Linked DNA regions of Astyanax mexicanus. The protein of the gene in region 1 binds, or shares a complex with, the protein of each later gene. Links are inferred from orthologs where the notes say so. Each region holds a gene or a part of one and is shown on either strand. Other genes may lie near its edges. The genes, in order: taf8, taf13 and taf3.

The links.
Region 2: taf8 (region 1) and taf13 share a complex: the UniProt entries of both Homo sapiens proteins name them as parts of the TFIID basal transcription factor complex. The link is inferred for Astyanax mexicanus from reciprocal best matches to the Homo sapiens genes TAF8 and TAF13.
Region 3: taf8 (region 1) and taf3 share a complex: the UniProt entries of both Homo sapiens proteins name them as parts of the TFIID basal transcription factor complex. The link is inferred for Astyanax mexicanus from reciprocal best matches to the Homo sapiens genes TAF8 and TAF3.

Annotation. Positions count from the first base shown.
Region 1 is NC_064420.1:4,726,047-4,736,542, forward strand, and holds the start of taf8 (transcription initiation factor TFIID subunit 8), read left to right. Parts: upstream 1-3,864; 5' UTR 3,865-4,229; coding exon 4,230-4,244; intron 4,245-7,486; coding exon 7,487-7,646; intron 7,647-8,141; coding exon 8,142-8,240; intron 8,241-9,377; coding exon 9,378-9,440; intron 9,441-9,811; coding exon 9,812-9,936; intron 9,937-10,496. Other genes in the region: g0s2 (G0/G1 switch protein 2), read left to right, coding at 2,287-2,619. UniProt on the Homo sapiens protein: The TFIID basal transcription factor complex plays a major role in the initiation of RNA polymerase II (Pol II)-dependent transcription.
Region 2 is NC_064420.1:35,138,965-35,148,586, reverse strand, and holds taf13 (transcription initiation factor TFIID subunit 13), read left to right. Parts: upstream 1-3,817; 5' UTR 3,818-3,955; intron 3,956-4,072; 5' UTR 4,073-4,110; coding exon 4,111-4,485; 3' UTR 4,486-4,973; downstream 4,974-9,622. Other genes in the region: slc35c2 (solute carrier family 35 member C2), read right to left, coding at 1,659-1,769; troponin C, skeletal muscle, read right to left, coding at 7,794-7,825, 8,047-8,183, 8,279-8,393, 8,522-8,665, 8,763-8,814. UniProt on the Homo sapiens protein: The TFIID basal transcription factor complex plays a major role in the initiation of RNA polymerase II (Pol II)-dependent transcription.
Region 3 is NC_064409.1:21,102,516-21,113,011, forward strand, and holds the start of taf3 (transcription initiation factor TFIID subunit 3), read left to right. Parts: upstream 1-4,163; 5' UTR 4,164-4,344; coding exon 4,345-4,510; intron 4,511-8,429; coding exon 8,430-8,690; intron 8,691-10,496. UniProt on the Homo sapiens protein: The TFIID basal transcription factor complex plays a major role in the initiation of RNA polymerase II (Pol II)-dependent transcription.

The DNA.
Region 1 (10,496 bases):
CCTTGTATAACTACTAGGGGTGACCAACTGTCATATAGTACGTGATGCCGCCAAATATAAGTAATTACACCAGCAGGGTGATGCCCCAGCACTGCCGCAACACCAACCCCCCAAATACAGTAGCAGTCAAAAGTCATCCAAACTATGAAGAAAAATATATGGAATTATTTAATCAAATAAAGTGTCAAACAAACCAGAATATGTTTTATATTTTAGATTCTTTTAAGTAGGCACCCCTTGCTTTCTCAGTCAGCTTAATGAGAGGTAGAGTCACCTGGAATTCAGGCTTTCAGTTAACAGCTGTGCTGAACTCATCAAGAGTTACTCATTATTTGAATTTCTTGTCTCTTAATGTTAGTTTGAGGGCATCAGTTAGAGGTAGAGTTACAGGTAAACAGTGAACAGCTCTATTTATAGAGTAATGTTCTAATTCATAGTATGACAAGAACTACTCAACTAAGTAAAAAAAATAATTAGTATTCTGGATGACTAGTTTTTAGTTACAATGTATGAAAATAAGAAAAACATTAAATGAGAGGGTGTGTCCAAACTTTTGACTGGTACTGTTTATAGTAATAACTTTCTGATGAAGAATGAAGAGGAACTGAAACAAGAGAAATAAAATTATTTAGAAATAGAGCCTTTCATAGTAATTATGTTGTTTTTATACACCAGTTCCTTATTCCTTATATGAATGTAGGTGAACGTGTTGACAGATCTTTAAATGTCAGTCAGCCAATCAAATTTTAGTTTCCTGTGAATAAGAAAAAAACAAAAAATAATATAGGGACATTCTATTGTGTTTTTCATTTTTATGATTATTAAAGAAACATGTTAAGTAAACAGAAAATAACTTATTTACTTTTTAAAACCTGAACTCTGCTGTAAAACTGTGGACTACAAACACACTCATCAAGTTCTTCAGTACGGAACATTGAATTATCTCACATGCCCACATCACTCACGTACAGTGAGGAAGATCCAGTGTTTTGGTCACGTGATCAGGAGATGAGGACGCTTGAGCAGAGTTCTCTCTACTGACTTGGCACAAACTGCAACACAGGAACTTGCACAAGCATGTTGGCAGGGTTTGCTCATACATATTCATATTTAGTGGGTGTGGCAACAGATAGCACTGTCCTTAAATAGGGAGTGAAGCTTTTAGTCAGTCGCCTACTAATTCCTGAAGAGAGACGAATAAGGAGTTATCAGCTGAAGGGTCTACCTACAGGTTTTGGAAGTAAGTATGATTTTACTGTTTTACTTTGGTCATTTTAGTTTTTCTAATTTCTAACACTTGATATTCTTTACCTTGTTGATTGATTAGCTATCTATATTTAATAAATGCATGCATGCACTTAATATTATCAGCCCTTATTATTATCTAACTGGAAATGTTACTACAACTTTCTCACAATAACATTAATAAAATGTTCTAAAAATGTTACGAGATCATGTGAAAAAATTGTTGCTAGAGTAACTTTCAAAAACATTACAAAACCTAGTTTAAAAAAGAGATCTCCCAACATTCATGGAACATTAAAAAAATGTTATAAGACCTTGTTCGAAAAAATAGTTGCTTAAAAGGTTCTAAAAAAACATAACAAAACCTAGTTTAAAGTTTCCCAAATGGTAAAAGAAAACATTCCCAAATTACTTTAATGGAAAATTTCAAAAACATTACAAAACCTTAATCAAAGTTTCCCCAACGTTCATAGAATGTTCTAAAAATGTTACAATAACTTTTTTTCATTAAACATTCTAAAAACCTTTCAACACCTTGTTTAAAGTTTTCCAAATGTTAGGAAAAATCATCCAAACTGTAAGGAAAATGTGTTCCCACAATAACGTTCATGAAATGTTCTAAAAACATTACAAGACCATGTTCAAATTCCCCCAAATGTTAGGAGAAAACATTATATAAAACGTTTCAGGACCTTGTTCAAACTTCCTTAAATGTTAAAAAAATTGTTCACACAGTAACTTTCAAAGAACATTCAAAAAATGTTTCAAGACCTTGTTTAAAGTTCCTCTAATGTCATATCCAATCATATCCACAGTGATGTTCATGGAACGTTTTAAAAATATTACAAAGACTTGTTCATAGTTCCCTCAATGTTAGGAAAAATCATTCCCACAAACTATAATTTATAACGTTAGAGGAATGTTTAAAAAGCATAATTTTGTTAGTAGGATCAGGATGTTTAATCACAGTACTTACCTCAGTACTTTCTTTCCACTCTCTCCTCACAGACTCCAACACAGATTTCAACCTTAAACAACATCATGGAGACCATGCATGAGATCATCCCATTCGCCAAGGAGATGCTGAGTGCAGGGCCCTCCAAGGGCTCCATGAAGATTTACCTGGTGGGTGGCACCTTTGCCGTTCTGGGCATGGTCAGCGGGATGATGGAGGTGGCCTGCTCGCTCTTCCCCGAGCAGGACGAGCCCGTCCTAGAGAAGCTGGAGGAGATGGTCCCGGTGACGGAGAAGGCCCAGGAGGCCCAGACCGCCATCCCCGAGCCAGACGACATGGATGCTGAGATGGAAGCCAAGGCTAAGGAACTACCCATGCTCAGGCAGCGGCGCATGAGCTTCAGAGCACACGCCTCATAAACAGCACACACTCCGCCGCTACACGTACTCATGCACTTAGCCTGGAACAGAGACGAGTTCTGCCTTTGCACTGAGGGATTCTTACGCATGCCTGACGGAGAGGAAACGGAAAGTGTCTGTTGGGATTGAATGCTGCTGAGCAGCGCAAGTTGCTGGAAGTATCGGAAGCTCCATGTTATCAAATGTTACGTATCAGATGATGTAATGATGTATTGATTTTCTACTGGGTGAACGTTCGTTATTTATACAGGATGTATTAAAGTCTTTATAGAATGTGCTTAAGTCTGACTGCCAATGAATAAAGTATAGTTTCCTGAAAGTGTGTCCCTTCTTTTTTTCTTTGTTTAGGAATTCAGGGAAAGGTTGTGAAAAGGACTGAATTTTGAGGGTTGAGTTCTCCTGTTTTGCTAGGGAAACTACCGTATTTTACCCCTTCTTCCCCCGGCCTTCCTCATTACTATTTTTCCTGTAAATTTCTCATATTATATTATAATTTAAAAAATAATAATAATTAAGTGCCTGTCCAAACTGAAATGTCACTAACCTTGTGAGAAATGCCACCCAGGCTGCTGCAAGAGGCAGTTCTCCCGAGGTTAGCGCCGACAGCGGGAACAATCCTGAAACAACAAATCAGAGAAATTAATGGATGCAAGGAGAGAGAGAGAGAGAGAGAGGGCATTTATGCAAAAAAACAAAACCAAAAAAAAAAAACCACCATATTATAATGACACATACTCAAAAATACTATGTACATTTGTATATCAGAAAATACCATTGATCACAACAAAATAACATTAAAACAAAATATATATATATATACTATTTATAGTAATATATATAGAGAGTTTTAATGGCTTTTTAGGGCTGTATTAGTTTAATATAATGTTAACAAAAACAAAATTATTATCAACCTAATGAATAATGAAGGCACTTAATGCTACTTAATGAAAGCAGAGTTATTTAACATAATAATAAGGTTGAACCAAGTGTTAGCTACAGAATGAATGATATAATAAAATAATATTATTGCTAGATATAGCTATATTTTATGTCGTGTCAAATACGTTTCTATGGCACTTCCTTAAAAATGTATTAGTTATAATCTTTTTCCAATATTGTTTTCTTATTAAGAAACTTTAAAAACTAAATATTTTAATAGGATTTTATGTCGTAAGTTTTCAGTGCTTGATGTTTAAGGCTTTTATTTTGGAATATTATTAAAACGCTCAACGGGACTTTTATTATCTTATTATTCAGGCAGCCAACCCTAACGGAGGAGCTGCGAGGCTTTCCGCTAAACTCAGTGTTTATATAGATTAGCCTGCTGGATTTTAGAGCAGATATTAGTGTTGATGGTTTAATATGTAAGTAAAGAGATGGAGGATAGCGCGGTTAGAGGCAGCGGGGGGTTAAAGACTAGGCTGGGCTGAAATTTACCCGAGCATTTACCTGCTAGAACGCTGGCTAACCGGCTAGCTAGGCTAGGCTAAGCTAAATTATTACTGTGTGCTAACGGGGCTCAGCGAGCTGCTAATGCTAACTAGCTGTATTTAACGCTTTTAAAAACAACACATTCAGGAGCGGCGAGACCCACAGAGAAGAGCTTCAACATGCTGACAGGAGAGGTAACTCGCTTTTTACCCGCTTTATTATTACAATTATTATATAAAGAAAACAGCCTAGATAACGTTAGCTAACCTAACTTTTAAATAGGGGATAAATATAAGAGATTAAAATACGCTATACTGCCAAAAATTTTCATTTACCAATCAAATTCAGGTGTTCCTGAATAAGCATGCAGACTGCTTCTACAAAAATTAGTAAAAGAATGGGTCTTTCTTAGGCGTTCAGTGAATTTCCTCATTACTAACCTTCAATATTCCACAGTAGGACTGTAACTAATTACTGATTTAGTAGTCGACTAAGCTGTCGATTATTTGGTTAATTAGTCGAATTATTTGGTTAAGTAGTCGATTATTTTTGTCACGCCCTCCATATATAACTTATTACTGGTGAGGACCGCTAAACATTTAGGCCCAAAGAGAAATTTTGCAGTACATTTTGATAGTTTAACGTAAGTGTGTGAAACTAAAAATCATAAAATATATTATAGGAAACATTTACACAGACTGTATGTTATTTTCAGGATATTAAGTTATAGGATAATTGTAACTGTTTTTTTTCTTCGTTTTTTTTTTACAAGGAGATTTCTCCCTGAAATGATTGTTTGTCTAAAAAAAAATAATAATTTTTGTATTGTTATAGTCTATAGTTACAGTAACACATAACTTAATTTTATTGGAGTGGACAGAGTAAGTTACAGTTTCTCTCTAGCATTTAGCCAGCTGACATTAGTTTAACTAATGTTAGTAATGTTAATGAAGGAGTGAAGCTTGTTTAAACTTACCTCAGCAGCTCTCTGCAGTAATTTAACTTAAACCACGGGTAATATAGAAGCCACTGTTTTAACTTTGCAGTTAACAGAACTAGTAAACACAAACTGTAGAGTATAGTGTGGAGTTAAATGTGTTTGTTTGTGTTTAATGGAGACTAGTGCTGCTTTTACACTCTCTGCGCGTCTTTTCCGTTCTTTCTCTCCTGCTCTCTCACGTGCTGCAATCCCACCCATACTGAAACCTCATTGGTCAATTAAGCATGAAGAAAGGCCAATCAGGATGCTCAGGATTAGTCACTCTCTCACAAGGGCTGCGTCCAGAAACCCCAAAAGTGTCTCCTTTTTCCTACCGATCCTCCTCCTCTCCTCCGTGACCCGGAAACTGATTTCGTGAGGCCATCTTGCCGCCTGTCCGAATACCGTTGGAGACGAAAGAAGCCGCTTAAAATCCACCTGTAGTAGGCTTCCAACGGAGGGTACATCAGTGTATCCTACTCCGGAAGACTTTTAAGGATTTTTTAATGACATCACTGCATCCACGCCCACAGAGCACGCGAAAATGGGGAAGGCAACGCCCAAATATACGTCATAAACATATTAATTAACTAGGTTCCTTATCTAATTAAACAGCCAGTAAAGCAGTAATATAATTTATAGTTTAGATAAACTGTATGCTCAGTAAAACTATATTTATGACCCTATGTGTATCATGTTATACATATAAAAACATATATTATTTATAATATATATATATATATATAATTTTAATTAATTCATTTATTTACTTATTTATTTTAACTTAGGGACTGATGAGGAAACTGAATCCCTCATAAGGCTGAGGTCAGACAGGGCTGCCAGAGTCACTGGTCAGAGATGCGGCTGGGAGTAAACAGGATTTTATTGGAATATCTGAATTTTTGGCTGTGTGTGATAGTAATGTTCTGAAACGTGCTGAAAGTGAGCGTTGTGATTGGCTCAGTTCAACGGTAGTCAACATCCTATCTAAAAGGGATCAGCTGTCCCATTTCCCCAATTACAGCTCCTTCCCTCCATTCCTCCTCCTCCTCTCCTCTCCTCGATTCCTCCACCTTCTTCCGGGGTAGGAGAGGAGGAGTAGGAAAGGAGGAGGAGAGGAGGAGTAGCAAAAGTTTCTGGACGCAGCCTATGTGTGTGTGTCTTCCTCTCTCGCATGCATGTGCTCGCGTGCATGTGCTCTTTTATATCGTATTTACGAAGTGAGAGCACATGTACACCACCAAAAACTCATATTTACCAGTAGGAAACTCGAATTTTTAGAAAAGAGTGTTCCGGTTGGGGGCCTGTCAGTAACTAGAGGGCATGGTGGCTGCCAGTATGAACCCTGCTCCTACAGTAAACAGTCAAAACTTGAAGCTTATAAGCAAAAGTTTTAAGTTTTACAGGTTTAAAAAAAAAAAAATTAAAACGTAAAATTCTGCTATGAATTACAGTTCTAATGGGAAAAAAACACCACTCACCTAATGCGTGTTATTTGCTTCATTCTCTTGGAGTAGGGAAAAATATACCACTTTTATATGAGAGTATAAACAAAAGGATTTTCCCAATGAGGTCCATTTTCACCGGACCAAAAAACACTGGAACGCATGGCAAGTCGTAATTACGACTTCCAGCTTCGTAAATAGGAATTTTCTTGGTGAACTTGAAGGCATCATCTTTCTCTCGCTTCATCACACCTTAACGATGCATCAACAATTTTTTATAACCAACGGCGTCGATTGTGCTGACTAATTGTTAACAGTGTTACTATAATCATGAAAAACTATGGATTTTATAACTATTTATAACTATAACTGTACCCGACTGGGTATCGGATGTTGGTATTGGAGCCTCATTTGCAAAAACAAGTTTAAGCGATTGGGAATGTCAGCAACTTTCTCCACAATCAACCGCTTCCATGGCTGAGCATCTCTATCCAAGCTTTACATCACCAAGGACAGTGCAGAGCATCAGATTCAGTTGTGTAAAACAGTTGCCATTGGGTTCTAGAACAATTCAATGCATGTGTTTGGGTTTGGCGGTTGCCAGGAGTGCACGGCGCCAAGCATAAAGTTTGGTGGAGGGGAGATTAGATGCAGGTTTTTTTTTTTTTTTTTTGAGATTTTGGATTATCACAACTTCGCTGTAGTTTGGGATGCCCCCTTCCTGTTTCAACATGACTGCATAGCTGGTTTCAGGTGTTTTAAACTGGTCTTTTTAGAGGTAAAGGTGGTTTAAAGGCTGGCCATTCCGGCATGCTGGTTATTGAGCAGACCACACCGTCAAACATATTTGATGTAAAGAAAACTATATAAAACAAAATAAATGCACTCTGTCTTAACCACATATAATTTATCATCACAGATATAGGTTTATTTTACAATTACCTACCAGTATGCATTGGATTTTCTTTATCCAAATTAATTTGTTCCTTATTATATTTCTTCTTAATTGCAGCGGTCAGGAGGTAACAAGTCGAACACGAGCCCTGCAGAGAACTACTACCTGGCTCGGAGGCGCACTCTTCAGGTGGTGGTCAGCTCTCTGTTGACAGAATGTGGCTTCGAGAGTGCAGAGAAAGCTGCGGTGGAAACTTTAACAGAAATGATGCAGAGCTGTAAGTAAACTCAGGAGGGATACCACTACCAGTCAAATTCTTCTGTCACACCAATCTGTCACAATAATTACAATATTGACTTGTCATACAGTATATAGGGCCCTGTGAAATCTGTTTTATTTTTTGAAAATTACTTTAATTTTTTTTCTGTTCACATTTTTGATTTTTAGGTATATACTAGTGCATCTAAAAAACAGAATATCATCGAAAAGATACTTTATTTCAGTAATTGAGTTCAAAATGTGTAGATGTATGATGTCAATTGACACAAAAAAGCAGCACCAACTTTCGTAACCAGTAGATAAGTCCTCATATTGAGAAACTGCAGCCTGATATGACTGAGCATGTGTTGCCCTGTACAGAGTTGGTGTCTTTTTTTCTCTTTTCATTTCATTTCATTTCATTTCATTTGACTCTTCTTATGTAGTTAAAGGATTACTGTAGTTCTGTACTAAATTTGTGTGATTTTTAACCTTTTTTTTTTTTTTTTTAAAGATATAACTGAAGTAGGCCGCTGTGCAAAGGCGAGCTGTGAGCATACAGCGAGAAGCACTCCCACACTGTCAGACGTGGTCATCACACTGGTGGAAATGGGTAAGCTTAAGTCTTAGTTAAATATAAACATTCAAAACACACAGTGGACAGAGGAGTGGGTGGGAATGATCATGACTGGCAGTGTCTGGCTCAAATTGTCAAACATGCCAACAGACGTGTGACTTTAATTATGTCGTCGCTATCCAATGAAAAGCAAAGTCTCCATTTTTGTCGGTTTTTAGTTTACCACATAATTTGAATAGACAAATTGTCGCTTACAATGTGCCAAAATTTATCGATGAACGAATTATTAGAAATACTTAAAAATGACCTGAAATTAACTCTTTTTTTTATGTTGACTTCCATTAAAAATGAAAAAGGTTTAGTTTTTTTCCTATAAAATGTAGATTGGAGATACTAGTTTTTCATTGGACAGAAACAATATACAAATTTAATGCAGGAGACTCCACATGCATATGCCACAGATCAGTGTAGCATTATTTAGCTTCCATGAAACATGGCAGAACACATGTTGGCAGGATAACTAGTTTCTGTCCCATGACATTTTGTTTTTTGTTTGTTAATGAACTGTCGTGTCTTATTTTATTATTTTTGTGTGTTTTTTGTTTATCTTTTGAAAAATTGCAGCAGTTTTCATTAGCACAGGCCTATTTTTGTACATTTTTTAATAGTTTATATTAAGCTTGAAGAGACAAGCACTGATTGACTTACATAAGATCATAAGATGTTGTTAATTTGTGCTGCACAGATCCTTACTTGCAATCATGCAGGGTTTTGTTGGCTGCCAGGGCCTGTCAAATGTCTCTGTCTGCTAATAACTGAAACCAAAAATCTGTCCTCCTGCTGGACTTGTTCTGCTCCAGCGAGAGGTCAGTCTGAAATTACAACACAGAACCACTGTCTGAAGGGTTGCAGGCTGGAGGCCACATCATCCTTCACCCTGGTTTTCTCAGAAACGTTACAAAGGGGAAAAAGCAAAGCTCAGATTCAGTATTCAGAGATATTCACCATACATTCTTAATTATTGTATTATTTTGTTCTGTTTATTGTATAGTTGCTTGCTTATATTAGGCATATGTTTGTTTGTATTCATAATAAGCTTTTTACAGTGGTCTGGACAGTGGTTTGTACATATAGAATATTAAAATATCATTTTCTTTCTTATAATAATTGTAGGATTCAATGTAGACACACTTCCAGTGTATGCCAAAAGATCCCAGAGGATGGTCATAACTGCACGTAAGTGTCTTGCTTTGTTTTCTTTATTTTTATGTATTAGGGCTGCAAGTATTAATGCACTACAAGCGGGTAGTGCACTATAGGACCCTAAGCTTTTGTCCTTAATGGCATTTTTCCCCACTTATATTACTTTTACTTTTATACTGTAAGTAGTTTTAAAACCAGCACTTTTGTGTACACTTTTACACAGTTGATTTTTCAACTTTTACAGAAGTATATTAAACACTAGTATCTATACTTCTACCTACAGTGTAATTAATGTAAATAAATTTCACACCTTTGGTTGCAGCCCAATAAGATAGGAATATAAATGTGACTCTTGAATTTGACTCTTTTGACTATAAATCTTATCTGTTTTTTCTCTTTATCAGCTCCAGTAACCAATGCCCCAGTCATCCCCAAGTCTCTGGTGGCTGGACAGAAGCGCACTCATCCAGCGTACATCCCCAGCCACTTCCCAGAGTTCCCAGACCCTCATACATACATCAAAACCCCAGTAAGGCTTCACAGTGTCCATGAGTTTTACATGTTAGTTTTTTTTATTTGTTCCTGGGTTGCCAAATATTGATAAACAGTATGGACTAGTAATAGTCATTTACACTCGTATGGACTGTGTCATGTATGTGCTTGTTTTTTTAGCATTATATAACTGGGGGGGGCAATAATCTGCATTTCTAATGTTTTTTTCCTGCTTAATTAAAAAGAGCAAAACAACTGACAACCAGGAAAATACTCGTTTTTCTGCATATAGTACGATTACTACACACACTTCAACTACTGAAAATAGTGTCTGTGTGTTGTTTTGGGTGGCTTGACAGTGGCCTTAAAATTCCAGTTTCAGAAAAGTGTAAATAAATAAGGGTAAAATAAGGGTACAATAAAAAAACAGTACTTACTACAGCACAACAAATGTCTCAACTATTATTAATTAGCACTAACTAAGACAATAATAATAATTACACATGCTTTAACTAATGGAACAATTCATTCTTATTGACTTTTTGCAACATTTAACAGTAATGTTTAATAGTATCTTATACTAGTGTCAATTATTAA
Region 2 (9,622 bases), about 30 Mb from region 1:
GGCCCACTGTCCTGCAGTTTTTGGAGTTGTCCCTGCTTCCAATACACCAGACAATCAGCTGTCAATTATTGTGTTAATGTGGGGCTGTCAAAGTATGACAATTAATAAAATGTGCAGGGCAGTGGCCCTTAAAGACCAGGATTGAAAAACAGTGTAATAAGCAATAGAATAGGCTCTATCAAAAGACCACAAATTAAACGGTGTCACTGAAATCGTTTCATACCTACACTGCAAAAATCTAAATATCAGCAATTGAAATGATATTTTACATTATTTAAGTAATTCAGAGCCCAAAACAAGCACATACGTTTTTTTTCATGATGGTGATTTATGATGACTGATTTATGAATTTAAGTGTAACGCAAACACCTAGATTTTATTGATTATTTTTAAAGAAAATTTACCAAGAAAAAAATAAGCAAAATGCTGTGCAAATGCTTTAACTAAAATTTAGACTTTTAGACTTAATTTAGACTAATTTAGACTTTAATAGAATGTAGATAAACAATAATAAACGAGAATATAGCAAAAAAAAAATAATTTATTAATTAGACTGTTCCAGGAACTTATATACAGACACACATAAGTACACACACATCAGAAAAAAATGAATAATAAAAAATATAATTATACCAGAATGTGATATAGAATATAAAAGAGATATATGAGTGTGATAACTGTGAGATTAGGCTAAATACACATGTAATGTGTGTGCAGACATGAACAAGGTCGTTACCTGTGTCCATATTAGTTATTAATTTAAAGTCATACTATTTTTGATATTTGATATTTTGTATTATGACACTGGAAATATTATATAATAGATTTGATGGTCAAATCTAGGGGAATTATCTCATAAGTCTTAAGTCGTCTCATAAGACACAATGTATCACATTGCGGCACAGTTAAAAGCTCCACAGGACAGTTAAAAAGCTCTGCAGGACAGTTAAAACAGTTAAAAACCTCCGCGGTACAGTTAAAAAAAACTCCGCGGTACAGTTAAAAACCTCCGCGGTACAGTTAAAACCCTCCACGGTACAGTTAAAAACCTCCGCGGTACAGTTAAAAACCTCCGCGGTACAGTTAAAAACCTCCACGGTACAGTTAAAAACCTCACGGTACAGTTAAAAACCTCCGCGGTACAGTTAAAAACCTCCGCGGTACAGTTAAAGAGCTCTGCAGGACAGTAGGAGAGTGTCGCAAGACAGTAGGAGAGTGTCTCGGGACAGTAGGTGAGTGTCGCGAGACAGTAGGAGAGTGTCGCGGGACAGTAGGAGAGTGTCGCGGGACAGTAGGTGAGTGTCGCGGGACAGTAGGTGAGTGTCGCGGGACAGTAGGAGAGTGTCGCGGGACAGTAGGAGAGTGTCGCGGGACAGTAGCAACAGGACAGGGACAGTTTTTGCTCTTACTGCTGCTGCACAAATCTCAACAAATTTCTGCTACACATTTTTTTGAATAACAATATTAATTTTTAAATCTAGACCACAATGTGCACAACAATTACAGGCATGCCAACCTTGAAAGAATTTTATGAGTACAAATTTCCCCACTCAACACTCGCAACCCACAAAGTGGTAAACCATGTAAATCTGACCAAATAATTTCTTTGACGTCTTTGCCATCTACAATAAGAGCGTGAAATGAGAAATTTGCCTCACCTTCATGAGCCACTTGTTGTAGAAAGTGATTCCTATTGAGAAGACATAGTAGAAAAGAACCAAGCCCACATTGCGGAGTGCCCGGCAAATGATCGACACCGGCCATGCCATCGCCACACACTAGGCTCTGCACGTTCCCCAGACAGGAATGAGACGTCTACCTAGCAAAACAATGACATATTAAGGGTCAGTCAAAAAAACAAGAATAGTAAAAACATACATATACTTGCTGCAATAAAACAAGCTGGATTTCAAGCTGGATGTTTTACAGTTTTCATGCATCTTGGCATGTTCTACTCCACCAGTCTTTCACACTGCTTTTGGATAACTTCATGCCACTCCAGGTGCAAACATTCAAACAGTTCTGTTTGGTTTGATGGCTTGTGATCATCCATCTTCCTCTTGATTATATTCCAGAGGTTTTCAATTTGGTAAAATCAAAGAAACTTTTTTTTAACTCTTTTTTGGTCTCTTATTTTTTTCCCGAGCTGTATGAAAGTATGTTTTCCGACTATGAGACTCCCCTAAATTTAAATGCCATTAAGTGCTACTGATATAAATTTTAATATAATATAATACCATAAAAAAGCATTTTAATTAATCCTACTGTGTGTATGGAGTATTTATGTGAACAAATATACAAATAAACACAATAGACCATATTACGACTATTAAATACTAATGAAGTCATGTGGCAGGTTACTTATAGCTAGCATGCAAAGAACGAGCAGCACGTGCCCTAACCTGTCCTTCAGGTCCATTTGAAAACAAGCTGTGTGTTTAAGTAGATAAACAGGCAGCCAGTTAGCTAACCTTACTAACTAACTATCAACATCTTACAGTGTAACCTAGAGTTAACCTGTCCATTATCCTGGTTAACCCACCGCTACCCAACAGCTAACCCAGCTAAACCTCAGTGTTCAGACTCTCTTACCTGGTTAACATTGTTCCCTCCAGTTACAGACTGTACTCCTAGTAAAGAGCTATGTTACCATAGCTGTTCCTGTAGTATGGAGTCTCGGGCTGCTGATAGTGATGATTTAATGGTAATGTATAGTTACTCAGGTGATCAGGGTCCGCTACACTCATTCACCATGGTATATATATAACTCCGTTCTGTTTTGGTGTCTGGCAGCAGCAGCAGCAGCAGCGGCCACGCTCCTCTGACGTGTACATGCAGTGCACCCCGGGAAATGTGGCCCGAACACACAGCCTATACTACACACACTACACACACTGGTAATTAGTGTGGTAGCTGGTGAACTTGTAATTAAACTGTAACTGGTATTAAAAGGCTGTTTTTTTTTATTAATTTTTTTTGTTCAAAACATTTTTTTCAGATCACAATTCAAGCTTTCAGCAAACACCCTTCGTCAATATTTATACATTACTCCAATACTGCAGGGGGCGCTGCGAGCGATCACTCGCCGCCAAACACGTGTTAAGATTTATTTTTAATTAAAAATACATATATATAATTTTAGGAGGTTCTAAAAATAAATAAATAGATAATAATAATACTAATAACTATTATTATTATTATACTAATTATTATTATTATTATTATTATTACAATGTAGAAAATAAGCATAATCAGATTTTTTTATTTTGAATGAGTGTGTTCAAAAAAATACTTTATTGTCACAAAATTATGAGTTTTTTTTATTTTACCAAATTGAAAACCTCTGAAATAAAATCCAGAAGAAGATGATTACAATCCATCAAACCAAGCTGAACTGCTTAAATCTCTGCACCAGGAGTAGCAAAAAGTTATCCAAAGCAGTGTGTAAGACTGGTGGAGGAGAACATGCCAAGATGCATGAAAACTGTGAATAAAAAACAGGGCTATTTAATCAAATATTGATTTCAGAACTCCTAAAACTTTATGAATATGAACTTGTTTTCTTTGCATTATTTGAGATCTAAAAGCTCTGCATCTTTTTTGTTATTTCAGCCATTTCTCATTTTCTGCAAATCCATGCTGTAAATGGCAATATTTGTAATTGGAATTTGGGAGAAATATTGTCCGTAATTTATAGAATAAAACAACAATGTTCATTTTATTCAAACGTATACCTATAAATAGCAAATCACTTATTCTTTTTCAGAGTTGTATATATGTTTTTCTTTTTTTTCCTGCAGTATGAAGCAGGTTGATGCAGTTGTGTGCAGATCTCTAGGTGGCAGCAGTGCTTCTATAGAGCTTCGTAAAGTCCTAGTAGAAGAGGAAGTGTGTGTTTGTGGCTGTAACGCCAGAGAAAAGGTTCTGTAGCTGGTTGGCGCTTAAAGTTACATAAGTAAGTTACATATTCAGGAAACTGCTTACGTTTTTTTTATACGGATAACAGTTAGAGTCTGAACAGTGTGTGTTTGTGTGTGTCCTGCCGTATCTGAATTGAGTTTCTGGTTGATAGTAGGGGACTTCAGCGCTACTGCGGGCCGCAGCACAAACATGGCTGAGGAAGACGATGATCCGGGCTTTGATGAAGATCTGGACGATGTTGGAAACGGTGTGGATTCAGGACACGGCAGGAGAAAGAGGCTGTTTTCTAAGGAGCTGCGCTGCATGATGTACGGCTTCGGAGACGACCAGAACCCCTACACGGAGTCAGTGGACATCCTGGAGGACCTGGTGATCGAGTTCATCACGGAGATGACCCACAAAGCCATGTCCATCGGGCGGCAGGGCCGCGTCCAGGTGGAGGACATCGTGTTTCTCATCAGAAAAGACCCGAGAAAGTTCGCCAGGGTGAAAGATCTGCTCACCATGAACGAGGAGCTGAAGAGAGCTCGCAAGGCTTTCGACGAGGCCAACTATGGGTCCTAAACTGTCTCTCACACACGAACAGTCTGTGGTGGTGGTTTCTCTACCACTGCTGGGTTTAAAACGACTTAAAAACTCAGTGTTTTGTGCTGGTATATTGGTCAGCACGTTTCACAAACATGTCCGGTTCTTATAAAATGCGTTTTTCCTGTTGTTTTTGCATTTTCTTTAACTGTTTGTATGTTTAAGGTGACCTACTTGGTTGAATTAAAGTTGGAACAGGTCTAGTAAAGTTTTAATTTCTGTAGGCTGATTGTATAAAGCACTGTGCAAAAGTAATCCCTGCTAAAAATACAGGTCAAGACCAGCTGGACTACCAACATAGGTCTGGATGACCAGCTGGTTCTTATCTGGATTTTTTTAAAGCAGGGATTGATCTTCAAATTTATTGCAGCTCTGTTATAACAATTGTTTTGTTTTTACATTTTCCGGCACCTGTGTGGAAAATTAAACAGAACCATCAACAAATAAATAAGCAGATGTTTTATTCATTTTTTAGCGTTTGTTCTTTTTGAAAAACACTTAGAATTTGTAAGTCTTGTAATTAATTTTTTTTCAAACCTCCTCCTGAAGTAGAGGAGTTCACTTCTTTCCTTTTAAGTTGTTCCAAACACACAATGTATTTTAAGTGTTTATTTAATTTATTGTTGGCGATGACTGCTTACAGCCAATAAAAACCCAAACATCAGTGACGGAACATTAGAATATTATATAAGACTAATAAATACTTTTGGCAGTGTGCCAAGTCCTGCTGGAAAAAGAAAACCACATCTCCATAAAAGTTATCAGCAGAGAGAAGCAGCAGATGACATGTCTCTCCAAACCATCACTGATTGTGGAAACTTCACCCTAGACCTCGAGCAGTTTGGTCTGTGTGTTTCTCCACTCTTCCTCCAGACTCTGGTTCCTTGATTTCCTAACAAAATGTAAAACTTACTCATGATCAACAATAGTTTTGAGCGCCAAGTCATCTGCTGGTGCTGGCTGCCTTTTGTGTAATATAAAGTACCAGTTGATTTTATATAATATAATACATTTTTTGAGACTGTTTTTTGGTGTTTCATTGACTCAACAATAAAATAAATACATGCTTAAAATAGATCATTCTGTGTGTAGTACATCTATATAACATCAGAGTAAATCTCAGTAGATAGATATTTGCTTCTGTCAGAAACAAGAAAGTATTATGTGGCAGAGATTGTCATATTTTACACTTGTCAGAAACTGTAATACAGGAAGGTTACGTTTGCAACTTGTCTAATATAAAAGCTGCTGTAATGTTGAAGAGGTCTGCTAACTATTTGTACAAATAACAAAACAAAACAACTAAATGAAGTGTAAAGGATACAATAGCTTGCTCATCACTTTAAATAGTGCTCTCTGTTTACAAATAAAAAAACTAGTTGTGTAGGAATTTAAAATCTAAATCGCAATCAAGAATCAATCATATATTCGACAAATATTGATGTTTTTTTTGTATTGCCCAGCACTTTTTTTTACTTCAGTTTAGTACTAAAAATAGATCTTGACATTTGCTTTCTATAAGATGAAAGCTTTGTGCTGTTTATTAGAGGCAGTGTTTTGACCATCGTTAAAATTAAATAGGAGGTGTCATATGTAACTTTCCCACAGTACTATATTAATGACTATGGCTCTTTTTAAAATGTAATAAATTACATCTACTCAGGCAGTGTTTGGAGACAAAAAAGGTATGGAATCAAGCACTTGTTTAAAAAAACTGTCTGTTATGGTACCTTTTGCTTAATTGTAAAGGCAGCATGGATGTATCTTACATAACCCATGATTCTTTGGGTTACAGCTGCCTCGACTTGCGAACATGACCCAAGCACGCGGCAATCAGCAGAAATACGTACGTAACAAATGTACGTTTTTTACAATTATTTACCCAAATTATCAGTTGTCGTCAGTATTTTGGCTTTTTATGTCTTTATGATTAGAATTAGTTACACCACTAGTCATGTCAGTTTCATGGTGTTGCTATATTTAAAGTGCATCTCAAACACAATCTGGCTGAAGCACCCTCATCATAGTTCTGCCTTCTAAGGTACTTACTATAGGAGACTGCATAGGCAGCAAGGCACTGAGGCAGCTGCCTTTTATTTTGGACACTGCCTATATGTGCCCATATTTGGAAAGTCATACAAAAGATTTAGCAGTTCTCTCCAGAGCACTGCCATATTACGAAGTAGTTGAAATTTAAGACTCTAAATAAAAATTAAAGACAGCAATAGCGAAATAATGATGTCTGCAATAATGCGTAAAAATTATATATGCTCTGATTAGCAGGAGAATTTGCTATCTGTGCACAACTAAATACAGGGTTTATTTCAAGCAAGATATTTTGGTGGTGTCTGCAATACTACAGTTACTACAATTAATCAAACATTTACACTTCAGTGTAACACTTGGACCACGGTCATGATATATGTGCAATCATGTTCTCAAGACCTCTGATTGAAGAATGAACAATAAATGCATAATTATATTGTGAAGTGATTCATATTGAATCAACAACAATGCAGCAAGGAATTAGCCCGAGATGGTCGAGCGTGACCTGCCTATTAAGAAGGAAGCAATCATCACACATTATTCTCAAGCATCTTAAGATTTTACGTTTTTTTTCTCATCCATTTTACATAGACATTTCGCATATGGGTTGACTGATGAAACTGAAGCACAACCATATTATGAATGACCAGTCATCTCAATCCTTATTTGGGTCAATGAGACTTGGGGAAGAAAAACGAAAAAAAAAAAAAAAGCTTTATTGATGAATTCCTCAGAACATAACCAAATACAGATTTGACTAAACAGACCAACTAAACACGAGCATGTCTTTTATTTTTTATTCTGTACTTTCTTTCAAGCGTTTGATCTTAAATACAATGAAGTATGAGAGGTTGTTGCATTGGTCTAAGCAGCGGTAACAAGCTGCCTGCTGATCTAGTCTAAATCTCGACTAAACGCCCAGCATTGCGGGGGTCCACCATGGCGTGGTGCGTGTTTTTGATGTACTGGCACCACAGACGCCACAGCTTGGCTCTTCCAGGAACATGCGGGTTAAACGTACCCCAGGATCATGATTGTTTGCATGCTGAACCTTGGCAGACCCCACCCAGGTGTCTGTCTGTTATGTCTGTTGAAGCGGCATAGCTGTGTTGAGATGAAGAAGGAGAGTCAACGGAGCAGATGGTGGGCAAAAGGGTAAAAGGGGGCATGAGTAGGTTTGAAAGAATGGGCTTGAGTTGACAGGGGGTCAAAGGGGGGAGGAATGTCCATGAGTCTCTGTTTTACTGCACGTTCTCCATCATCTTGAGGAATTCTGAAAAATAAAGGCATTGTAGTCCTCCATTAAACTGGTGCAACAATATTTAGCCACAGCATAATAATCATAATAATAATGTATTATTATACAAGCGTGTATACTTGACTATAATTCATAGAAAACTACAGTACTGCCAACACAGTGTATATAAGAGTTTTTAATACTAACAATAACCCCTGCATATTCAATGACATTCTTAGACATAAAAGCCGTCATACCGTCAAAGTCAAGCATGCCATCTGCGTTCTTGTCTCCGTCCTTCAGCAGCTCATCAATCTCATCTTCTGTGATGGACTCGCCAGTGCTGCGGATGATCTCAGCAAACTCCTCTCTGTCAATGTAGCCATCAGCGTTCCTGCGAAACCGCCAGGAAATGCAAGGTCAATCATCCATTGAATAAATACCATTCATCTGGAGAAGCCTAGTCTATATCAGTGAGTCGTGACATACTTGTCAAATACACGGAAGCACTCTGCCAACTCTTCCTCGCTCTTGCCAGCCTGGTCCTCCTTTAGGAGCCTCACCATCATGACCAAGAACTCTTCAAAGTCAATGGATCCGCTGCCTGAGGTTGATCAAAAAGAAGTGTACAGCCATTTTCGCTAAAGTAATATCGCATAGTGCATTAGACCTACTTATATAGACAGTAGTATAATCAACATGCTGTTTTTACAAGTGTCCCCAAGTCCTTACCATCCTCATCCACCTCCTCAATGATTTCAGCCAACTCCTCTCTGGTTGGATTCTGACCCAACATCCTCATGACAGTACCCAACTCATTGGTGCTGATGTCACCGCCACCGTCAGTGTCGAACATGTCAAAGGCAGCCTTGAACTCTGTTATTGCAAGAAACAAAAATCTCATCATACATCAAACAAACACTACAGTACACATTTAGAACTGATTAATTCATTCGTTAATACAGCCACTCACCAGCAAGCATCTCCTCGCTCAGGTAGGAGCGGGCCTCCTGCTGTGCGTCAGTCTGACAACCCACACAACAGCAATGATTAAAATATACCATCATTCACTTTATACAACCATATTTCTTTGTCATAATCCTGATGATGAGAAATGCTGGGTGTAATAATAACAGGCCGTATCTACCAATATATTCCTACGAAGTTTCTTTCTACATTTGTTTTGGAGAATTGTCCAACCAATTTGTGTCCAATTTTTGTCAGATTTATTGTTCATTCAAACTGAACAAATGCCAAGTTAGATAATATTGGTGAATGTCAGACTCAGATTTTGTCAGACTTTGTAAAAATTAGGTTTAAGAAAAAAATTATTAATACAAACAAATATAATAAGACCCATTTTATTTTTCTTAGCACTTTTAATAATAAATACTGTTTACTAACCCTTTAAACATTCTAGGCCTGTATATTAGCCCGCACTTAAATTTACTCTCAAAATACACAACTTAAATATTAGTTCAATGTAATCATAGGATAATTCATACAACTTCCTGAATAATACAGTTTAAAATAGTCTAATGTTCAAATGGTTAAGTTTTAGGCTTTTTCTCAGCCATGCGCACTGCAGTTGGCGCATTAATGCTATTTTAAGGATCAGCAGGTTATCTCCCACTCAGTGCCTCTACATGGCAATTCCGAAATTTAACTCCCGGAATGTGGCGCCTAAGCAAGTAATCTGGATGCACACACACTTTACTGCCCGGATCAAATGGCATCTCACCACCCTCTAACCTCACTGGTGCCATGCCAGTTTGGCTTTACATACTGTCTGCTGACTGCTAAATTAAATTTACAGAAGTTTTGGGCATCAAG
Region 3 (10,496 bases), on another chromosome or scaffold:
ATTTAGACCATTTATTTGCAGAAAATGAGAATAACAAAGATGCAGAGCTTTCAGACCTCAGATAATGCAAAGAAAACAAGTTCATATTCATAAAGCTTTAAGAGTTCAGAAATCAATATTTGGTGGAATAACCCTGGTTTTAATCACACTTTTCATGCATCTTGGCATGTTCTCCTCCACCAGTCTTACACACTGCTTTTGGATAACTTTATGCCACTCCTGGTGCAAAAATTCAAGCAGTTTAGTTTGGTTTTATGGTTTGTGATCATCCACCTTCCTCTTGAATTATATTCCAGGTTTTCAAAAAGCTGTAGATAATTCAGCAAATCTAATTTAAATGGTTTATTTATTAAAAAAAACATTTTAGGTCAAGCTCGTTGATTGCTTTTAGGGATAAATGGTGAAAAACTTTGACCCTGACAAAAGACCCTGAAACTTGATCATCTTTTATGTGAAGTAGTTACTGTATCTCTGACTGAGAGAACCAAGAACAGCAAACATAAATCTAAACAATTATAAAATACAGTCCCTAGCACTAGGCTTTACATGCACAAGAGCAGAAAATTACAAATCTGATGGTAAATTAAGTATTTTGCGGGGGGCCATGGAGCATCTTACAGATGATTAAGTGGTTTGGAAACTCTTGATCTAGAACATGTCTTAACGTGTCACAAATTCCTACACTTCTCTTGCTTAAATTTTTAAGTATTATCCACTTAACCGGCAGGTTAATGTTATAGCTGATATACTATCCTATCCTTTTATATCTTCAAAATTGTTCCATAATTATTATTACAATAATTCAGCGTATAACTTGACTAGGGGAGAGTGTAAAGGACTTACACTATATGTCTGAATGTTTTTGGATATCCCTTTTAAAGAATGCTGCATTCAGCTACTTTTTAGGTCACACTTACTGCTGATACAGATGTGCAGATGCACACAACTTGCTTTGCTTTCATATCCTCACAGAAATGTTCCAAAATCTAGAAGGAAGCATTTGTTAAACTGTAGAGACAGTTACTCCAACAGAGGCAGGACAAACTCTTTAATACCCTTGATTTCAGAAGAAACCATGAATGAGCTGCTGTTCCAATATTTTGTTGTTTATTGTAGCCCACAGTAGCTTGCAAAAGTATTTATACCCCTTAAACTTTTTTCACATTTTGTCACCACACAACAACATATTTAAATGTAGGCCTATTGTATTGAGATTTGAAGTGGTAGACCAAAACAAAGGGAACAAAAATGATATGTGGTTTTCAAAAATGTATTCTAATAAAATCTGAAAAGTGTGATGTGCAAAAGTATTCAAACCCCTAAATAAAACCCAGTGCAGTCAACTGCCCTCAGAAGTCACTGAATTAGTTCATAGAGAAGTGACTTTTGCACTTTGCCACAAGTCATGTAGGGGGCACATCAAACATGTGGAAGAAGATGTGTCCCTGTGATCAAACGATATCAAAGTTTACATTTTGGGACAAAGTGCAAAGTGCTTTGTGTGGCGAAAAGGTAACACTGCTCATTACTCTGAATACAGCACCCAACTGTGAAACATGGTGGTGGCAGCATCATGTTGTGGGTAAGCTTCCTTCAGCAGGGACAGTAAAGCTGGTTAGAGTTGATGGGAAGACAGATGGAGCCAAATACAATGAAATTCTGAAAGAAAACCTGTTGGAGGCAGCAAAAGACTTGAGACTGTAAAGGGACCAGTTTTACCTTTCGGCAAGACAATGACCCTAAACATATAGCCAATATATTTAGTTAATAATTATGTGTTAGAATGGCCCAGTGAAAGTCCTGACCTAGCTTCTCTAACATCTGCTGAGCATCATTGTAACATTTTACAATTATGTGTTGGTTTATCACAATCTCAATAAAATACATTAATGTTCGTGGTTGTAAGATGACAAAATCCTGTACTGTATTTGTTTTCCTCCATTGTTGCGACTTAACTCGGGTTATCGATACAGGGAGCCTCCTTAATATAAGGAAAGGCTTGACCTAAAAAAAAAAATAGCTTTCTGGTTTAATCCAATCAGTGAGCTTCTCCCACCACTCAGCCAGCGCTCTTTGATTAAAGCAGGTTAAGTTACACTGAACTGATTACTGATGAACTCTACCGCCTCCGCGGCCCCTCCATTGTTGTTTTATAATAATTGGCAATCAAAACAAGTTTAGCCTCCTCATTATCCCCCTGCAACCCGACCCCTCATCCTAATAAACAGCAGCGAGTCGGGCATGGCGGCCTGGGCTTGGGTGACGCCTGCATGTGAAGCAGTGCTGGTGTTGAGTGACTGCACTTTAGTAAGGGTGAGTTCTGGGGTCGCTGATCGCGGCTCTGGGAGAGGCCCCTGACTGATAGCACTGCGCCAGGGGGAAAGTTTGTTTGGCCAGATGGCAAATCATGCATTATTCACCTGCTGGCAACTGGATCCATCGTGGTTAGGTGCTTTATGCATGCTAATCTGACCCATTCCTGCACGTGTCCCAGAGTTCTGTTCATCATCTAGATTTAGCATTTGGAGTTTGGTGGAGTGCAGTAGCCAGTATTAAACAACTATAATAAAAGTCCCCAATGCAGAGCCAAATAAAAAAAAGTAATGCTCTTTTAAAGTTATGACCATTTAAACTTCAATTCCAGGAGCTAGCATTGTGTCCCATGAAAGCGAAATAATGCTTCACTGACCTCTGCAGACAGGACTGAGTGTGATGAGGTTGAATGTGACGAGGTTGAGTGTGACAGGTTAAATGTGATGTAGTTGAGTGTGAAAGTTGAATGTGACAGGAATGAGTGTGACGGGATTGAATGTGATCAGGTTGAATGTGATTGAATGTGGCAGAGTTTAATGGAATGGAGTTGAGTGTGAAAAGTTGAATGTGACAGGAATGAGTGTGACGGGGTTAAGTGTGCTTACATATGGTTACATTATGGTTGCTAATGTAAGCATATGTGTACATTAGCAACAGAAACTTAACATTAATAAATTGGCATTATTTATTTGTCTGATGTTGTAATGATGGTCAGCGCAGATATACAAATAGGTTTGATGTCTACAACTTTAGACACATTTAAAAAATAATAAGAGCAATGTGTACAAGTATTAAACAACTATAATAAAAGTCCCCAATCCAGAGCCAAATAAAAAATAGTAATACCCCTTTAAGATGATGACCATTTAAACTTCCAGGAGCTAACATTGTGTCCCATGAAAGCTAAAGAACGCTTTTTAACAAAATGTGGCTGGTGGGGAGTTTAACCTCTTTTAATGTCTCCTACAAACTCTTTTAATGGATAATTATTAATGTTATATTTTAAAGGCATATTTGACATGTGCCTAAATAGTATTCATCACATATGTTCAATAGTTTACTACAATTTATATAGGGAATATAAGTAATAAAGTTCTGTGTTTTGTTTAAATACATGTCATATTCCATGTGTGTGTAATGTACACAATTTTCCATGTAAATGAGTAATTTAAACGTCACTTTTATTCAGATTTTTTATATCTGTTTTATTTATTGGGAACTTATTTATCCGTTATTTTAAGATGAACATTTTATTCGATTTATTTATTGGATTTTTAAAAACATGTTTATTATTTGGAACTATTTTCATCCTGTTAACCTATTAGGAACTTTTTTTACTAGAACCATTTTTAATTTGGTTTATTTATAGAAAACCTTCATTCTGGTTTATGTATTTAGAACTTTTTTTAATCTGGTGTATTTATTGAGGACTTTTTATCTGGCTTATTTACTGAGAGCCTTTTTATCTGCTTTATTTATTGAGAACTTTTTTATTTGCTTTATTTATTGTGAACTTTTTATTCCTTTAGTTCTTAATTTATTTATTAAGATTTTTTTTCCGTTTATTTATTGAAATGTTTTTTATCTGGTTAATTTATTGGGAAGGTTTTTTAAATTTTTTTGGGAACATTTGTATTAGATTTATGTATGGGAACCTTTTATCTGGTTTATTTATTGAGTTTTTTTTATCTGGTTCATTTATTGGAAGCTATTTATCTGGTTTGTTTATTGAGAACTTTTTATCCGTGTTATTTATTGGGAGCTTTTAAATTAAGGACGTGTAGATGATCCCGCACATAATCGAGTCGCGAACGGTCTTGTGTGTGTGTTGTGCGCATGCGTGGAATCGATGACTCGACTATCGGTTGAGTGAGTGAATGATGGCGCCTGCTATGGAAGCGCTAACCGACCTCCTGATCTGAAGCAGCCCGGAGAAACAGCAGCAGCAGGAGCAGCAGGCCGGTCCAGCGCGTGTTTTAGCGGCTTGTTGTGGTGTGGGATATGCCGTGTCCGGCTCGGCGGGGCTGAGAGATGTGTGAGAGCTATGCCCGCGCTCTGCTGCGGGTCTCCGTGGCGCAGGTCTGCCAGGCGCTGGGCTGGGACGCCGTGCAGCTCTCCGCCTGCGACCTGCTCTCCGACCTGCTGGAGCGGTACCTGCAGCAGCTCGCCCGGGGCTGCCACCGCTACTCCGAGCTCTGTGAGTAGAAATAAGGGATTTACACATGTGAAATAGGGCTTAGGGGTGTGTTATGTGGAGTTTTGAGTGCAAGAATACTGATTTATCAGCTCTTGGAGCCAATGTTTTGAGTGTGCGCCTGGGCTCCAGGTGGTAGCTAGCACTAGGGTAGTCAGTGTTCTGACTGTTTTGGAGCTTTAATGGAGACATGTTCGTAATAAAACTGCATTCAGAAGCTCTCTTAGCTCTGTACGTGTGAAGAAACAGGTTAAAATGTTGAAATTCAGGCAATTATGCTTTTCCTGCTCCTCTGTTTGGGAACACTGGTGCACCAAAGCTGCAGAGCAGATCTCAGTGAATGTAAATAACTTAATACTTAAATGTCTGTTAAATAATAGTTCTTCATTTTTATAGGTTTGAGTAAGCTCTATATAGCTGTTTATCATACATTTCTGCATAAGTCTGATCTAAAACGTCCTAAATCTTGAAAGTGAGTAAGATACGTAGAACCAAATCAAACATGAGGCTAAATATAGTACACTTGGTCATGTTTTTATTGAGGACAATGATTCAATAGTGTATATGTGTAGTAAAACTATGTAAACACTTAGGATTAGGAGATAGTTTAAAAAATTGAGTCAGGTTTTAGATCCTCACCACCCATGTTTATGGAAGTGCATCATCTCCCACAAACAGGTGAATTCTGGGAACATCAGAGAAAGCATTGTTGATTCACATCAAGCTGAAATTGTTTCAATAACATCTCTAATGTTTGGACTCCACAGTCAGATAGATTACAGTTACATCATTACCTCTCCCAGTAGCATCCACAAAGAAAGATCACACCAAGTGCAAGGTGTGTAATAGTCCCCAAAGTCACAATGGATTCAAAATTACTTCTAAGCAACTTCTAAACCTTTCTCACATTGTATACAAATTATGTTAGTGTTAATTATCATTAGTCTTCTATCAGAAGAGCACTGAACAACAATTCTGTGCATGGCAAAGATGCCAGGCAAAAGCAGCTGTTCACCCACAGGAACATTGCTGCCCATCTGCAGTTGGCTTAAGATCACATGGACAAGCCAGAAGGCTATTTTTGTGGATAAATTGGTGCAAAATAGCTAGATCCTAAATTACATGTGTTGTGTTTTGAGACAGAAAAGCACTGGCTTCCTGTATAAAAATCTCAACTGTGGAACATGTTGGTAGTATCATGGTTTAAGCCTGTTTTGCAGCATCTGTCCCAGGAGAACTTGCCATTATTGATCGAACAGGGAATTTTAAACTAGTGTCAGGACGTCTGTCTGTGATCTAAATATCAAACAAATATGGTTATGCAGCAACAACATGGTCCAAAACACACTTATAATATACCAAAAACAGTTGGTTTTTGGTATATTAAAGAATTAGGTTATTTTTTTGGAATAAAGAACTCACCAACATAACAGGGCTGAAGCTGCTCTGTATGGAGGAATGGACTACAATTGTTTAGAGCTGATGTGCAGAACTAAACAACCATTTCTGAAAATATTTAGTCACAGTTATTGTTGCAGAAGAAAGCAAAGGTTTACATACTTGTGCCACTCATAGATATGTAATTTATAAATAATAAATAAATGACTGAGTTAGATATTTGGACTCATTTGTTTACTTTGGTTCTACTTATCTAGTTTCAGGTCATATTTGTGTTGAAAATATACTTAAATACTTCTAAAGGTGTTTAACAAGATGTTGCCAACTCAAGCAGTCACAATATTTAATATTCTGTAAAAAAATGTATGTTAGCAATATTTGCACTAAATGTCTTCTTTATGTTTATTTGGATTTATACTAATATTATATAGAGGTAAGTACAGGTAGACACTCTCACTGACCACTGAGTTTATGTTTATTTGGGTTATTCTAATGTTATATAGACTTCTAGTTTACTCACAGATATGTAATATTGGATAGTTTTCCCTTCATAAAAAAGAGTCAAATATAGTTGGGTTTTCCTTATCCATTTTTTAGACTTGTGTATGAAAATCTGATAATATCATAATATTTATTCTGAAAATATAAGTAGAAAACCTCAAAGTGTTAAACAACTTTCAAGCATCACTATAGTAGCTAAAATTGCCAACCCAAGCAGTCAATCATGAATATTCTGTAAAAAAATAAATAAACAAAAAGTCAAGTTAGTAGGCTTAACTGAAGCAGAAAAACACGTTAATGTAATATATAATGTGAATATATTCATATTTCCAGCAAATATTGTATTATAGTGAGCTGTTTTGAGGCACACTTCCCTTCTTACACTTCCTAGCCTCGCACTGTTTACATCGTTAGCCTGCTGGCTAAGCTAACTTGCCTGCTAACATGCTAACTGGCTAACGTGAGATATGCTAGCGGCCAAAGAGTCGCGTGTTGTGCCTGTTTTGTGTGTTTAATTAACCTTTTTGGACAAATTGACAGATATTGGGTTAATTCGTGATGCATGCGGTTGACATTTGCTCGTTATAATATATTGTATTAGGTAATTTATATACTTAGCTTGCTAGCTAGCATGGTAGCTAATTTAGCATGCTAAAGTTAGCGGGGAAACGTACGTGCTTCTGAATTAACTTAATTAAACAGCAAATCTCAGGTATTGCAGGGCAGAGGTGTTTGTTGAAGCAGGGGCAATGTGTTGTATGTATTTGTTTGCCTTTATATAGTTTAAATATTTCTAAAAAAAACGGTAAAGTCTAATGCTATATTTGAGCTTAAGATGCTGATGCTGGCTGTTGCCATAGAGATAAAGGTAGCTCGCAAACTAGCGAGCATCTGTATGGATGAACTTGTCCACTTTGCCCTGGTCTATAGCGAATTTGTTATACAAAATATAATTAGTTATATAGTTAAAATTTTACAGGGAGACACTCACTAACCACGGATGTAAACTGGGTTTATTCTAATGTTATATAGAGTTAGTTACAGGTAGATACTCTCACCAAACACTGACTTTATATTTATTTAGGTTTATTCTAATGTTATATAGAGTTAATTACATGTAAACTTTCTAACTAAACACTGACCCTATGCGTATTTGGGTTTATTCTGTTGTTATATAAAGTTAATTAAAGATAGATACTCTCACTGATCACTGACATTATGTTTAATTAAGTTTATTCTATATGTATATATTTACATACTGTTTTATATGCTGTTTTATTTGTATACTTCACATAAAGACACACTCCCTCCGGAGAACCATGGTTTAAAATATTTAATAGGCTGCATAATCCTGGACCCACACTGTGTGTTGTAAATTCAGAGACAGTCAAATTTTTTTTTTAATGTTTACTATTCAATATTAAATAAAGATATAATTCAGGCTTTAGTGAGTGAAGGTGCTAATAGATTTAAAAAGGGTGACACTAAGAGTGTGTGTCCCATGGATGTGAATAATTGCAAAATTATAAAAATGAATATATTGTCCTTTCAGCTGTCAATATATCCGTTTATGTCAGCTGCCATGTTGTATGAGTGTGGTTGTGGGCGGTTTATTACTTCCAAGTTCTGCATTTTCCTACTCACATATCAAGAGAGGATGCTATTTCCTTTGTGGTCCACACTGCCTTCACCCACCAGGAACAAAAGGATTTCTATGTCTGTATGATCTTTGTGGACTTGACATTTTAACACCATAATCCCTAAGAATGAAAATAAAGTCCTGTTGAATGCTTTAATCACACACTTTTTCATTTTATCTGTTTTGTGCTCTGTTTGTGCAGTCTGCCATCTGACAGATATACAGCATTATTATTTTTTTATTTGACCTGTGAGAATGGGACTGCACTGGTTCTCATTTTTATGTATTGTATAAGGATTCAATAACAATTTTTACTGTGACAGGCCTTACTCAATATTTTCATTTTTTTCATTTCACCACATTGTGCTTTCTTTCCCTCCGTAGATGGACGCACGGACCCCGTTCTGAGTGATGTGGACCGGGCCTTTGGACTGATGGGGGTGAACATAGCAGAGCTGGAAGACTACATCAACCAACTGGAGCCAGTGGCCTTCTCTCAGCAGATCCCTCAGTTCCCAATCACCAAGAGCAGCATGCTGCAGTTCCCTGCTGCCGGCTTCGAAACAGACGCCCGCAACGCCCTGCGAGGAGAGAGAAGAGACTACATCCCAGAATACTTCCCTCCACTTGTCTCTCTGCAGGAAGGTAAGTACTTCTAAAATTAAACTACACAGCACATAATATATATACGGTACTTCATTTATTAGCAACTTCTTTTTTGGAGCTCCATCTAGTGTACAGTCAAGAGACTGCATTTACATTATTGATACACAGACCAGAGGTCACTAAATAGTGACCAAAAAAACAATAACCAACAGAATGTAAAGAGTAATTTCTCAGGAGATGCCTTTCTTTTCATCTTTTTCATACAGTTGGTTATTGATAAATCTTAATGGCAGAATGAATTAAGTGATGAGGATACATACATTTATCCATAACCAGCTGAATGACCCCAATTTTGCAAAGCACCCTATTTTCAGTGTATGAACAGTTATATATATATTTTGTTTGTTTGTGCAAAACTGTGAATGTAGTTTTGTTTAAAATATTAGGTTCCCTGAAAACTATGTAAACTTATTTTGGTGCTGTGTATTCTTATTATGAAAGTGTTCTCTGAAAGTCTTACATTTTATTTCCCCATGTCTGTAGATGCCCTGTAGATAGAGATTTCAGTCGCATACATCTTAGATATTACATGTGTCTTGTATTACACCAATCAGAACTGTACGTGTGTAATGATGAGTGCATAATATTAACTACACTAATATACAGAAAATGTAGTCATGTAGTCAAGATAGTAATGAATATCTCTAATCTGTTCATCACAAATAACAAACAAGCAGAAGGAAAAGTTTTATTTTGGTTTTATTTTAATGTAATTGTATAATTGTTTCTGATTAATTGTGTCCTCATGAAAATTAAATATATTTTAGCACACACACATACAGTGAGTCCAAGAAGTATTTGATCCCTTGCTGATTTTCTTCGTTGGCCCACTAATAAAGACATGATCATTCTATACTTTTAATGGTAGATGTATTCTTACATGGAGAGACAGAATATTAAAAAGAAAATCCAGAAAATAAATCTAAGGAATATATATTAATTGATTTGTATTCCATGGAGTGAAATAAGTATTTGATCCCTTAGTATTCATTAGCAGTTCTGGCTTTTACAGACCAGTTAGACACTCCCAATCAACTTGTTACCTGACCTGAAGCCACCTGTTCTCACTAATCACTTGTGTGAAAAACACCTGTCCACAGAATCAGACAGATCACACAGATTTCAAGTCTCCAACATGGGTAAAACCAAAGAGCTGTCACAGGACCTCAGAGTCAGAATTGTTGACCTTCACAAAGCTGGAATGGGCTACAAAAAGATTAGTAAGGTGTTGGATGTGAAAGTAACAACTATTGGTGCAATTATCAGAAAGTTTAAAGAGTATAACATGACAATCAACAGACCTCGGCCCGGTGCTCCAAAGAAGATTTCGCCTCGTGGGGTGGCAATGATGCTGAGAACGGTCAGAAATCGTCCTGCAACCACTCGGCAGGAGTTAGCAAATGACCTGAAGGCAGCTGGGACCACAGTTTGCAAGGAAACAATTGGCAACACTTTGCGCAACAATGGATTCACATCCTGCAGTGCCCGAAAGGTACCCCTGCTGAAGAGAGCACATGTGGAGGCGCGCCTCAAGTATGCCAATGATCATTTGAAAGATGAACCAAGTTATTGGGAGAAGGTTTTGTGGTCAGACGAGACCAAAATTGAACTTTTTGGCCTCAATTCCACCCGCCATGTGTGGAGGAAGAAAAATGCTGCCTATGACCCCAAGAACACTGTGCCCACCGTCAAGCATGGAGGTGGAAGCATAATGTTTTGGGGGTGTTTCTCTGCCAAGGGTACAGGGCTACTTCACCGCATCACTGGGAAGATGGATGGAGCCAT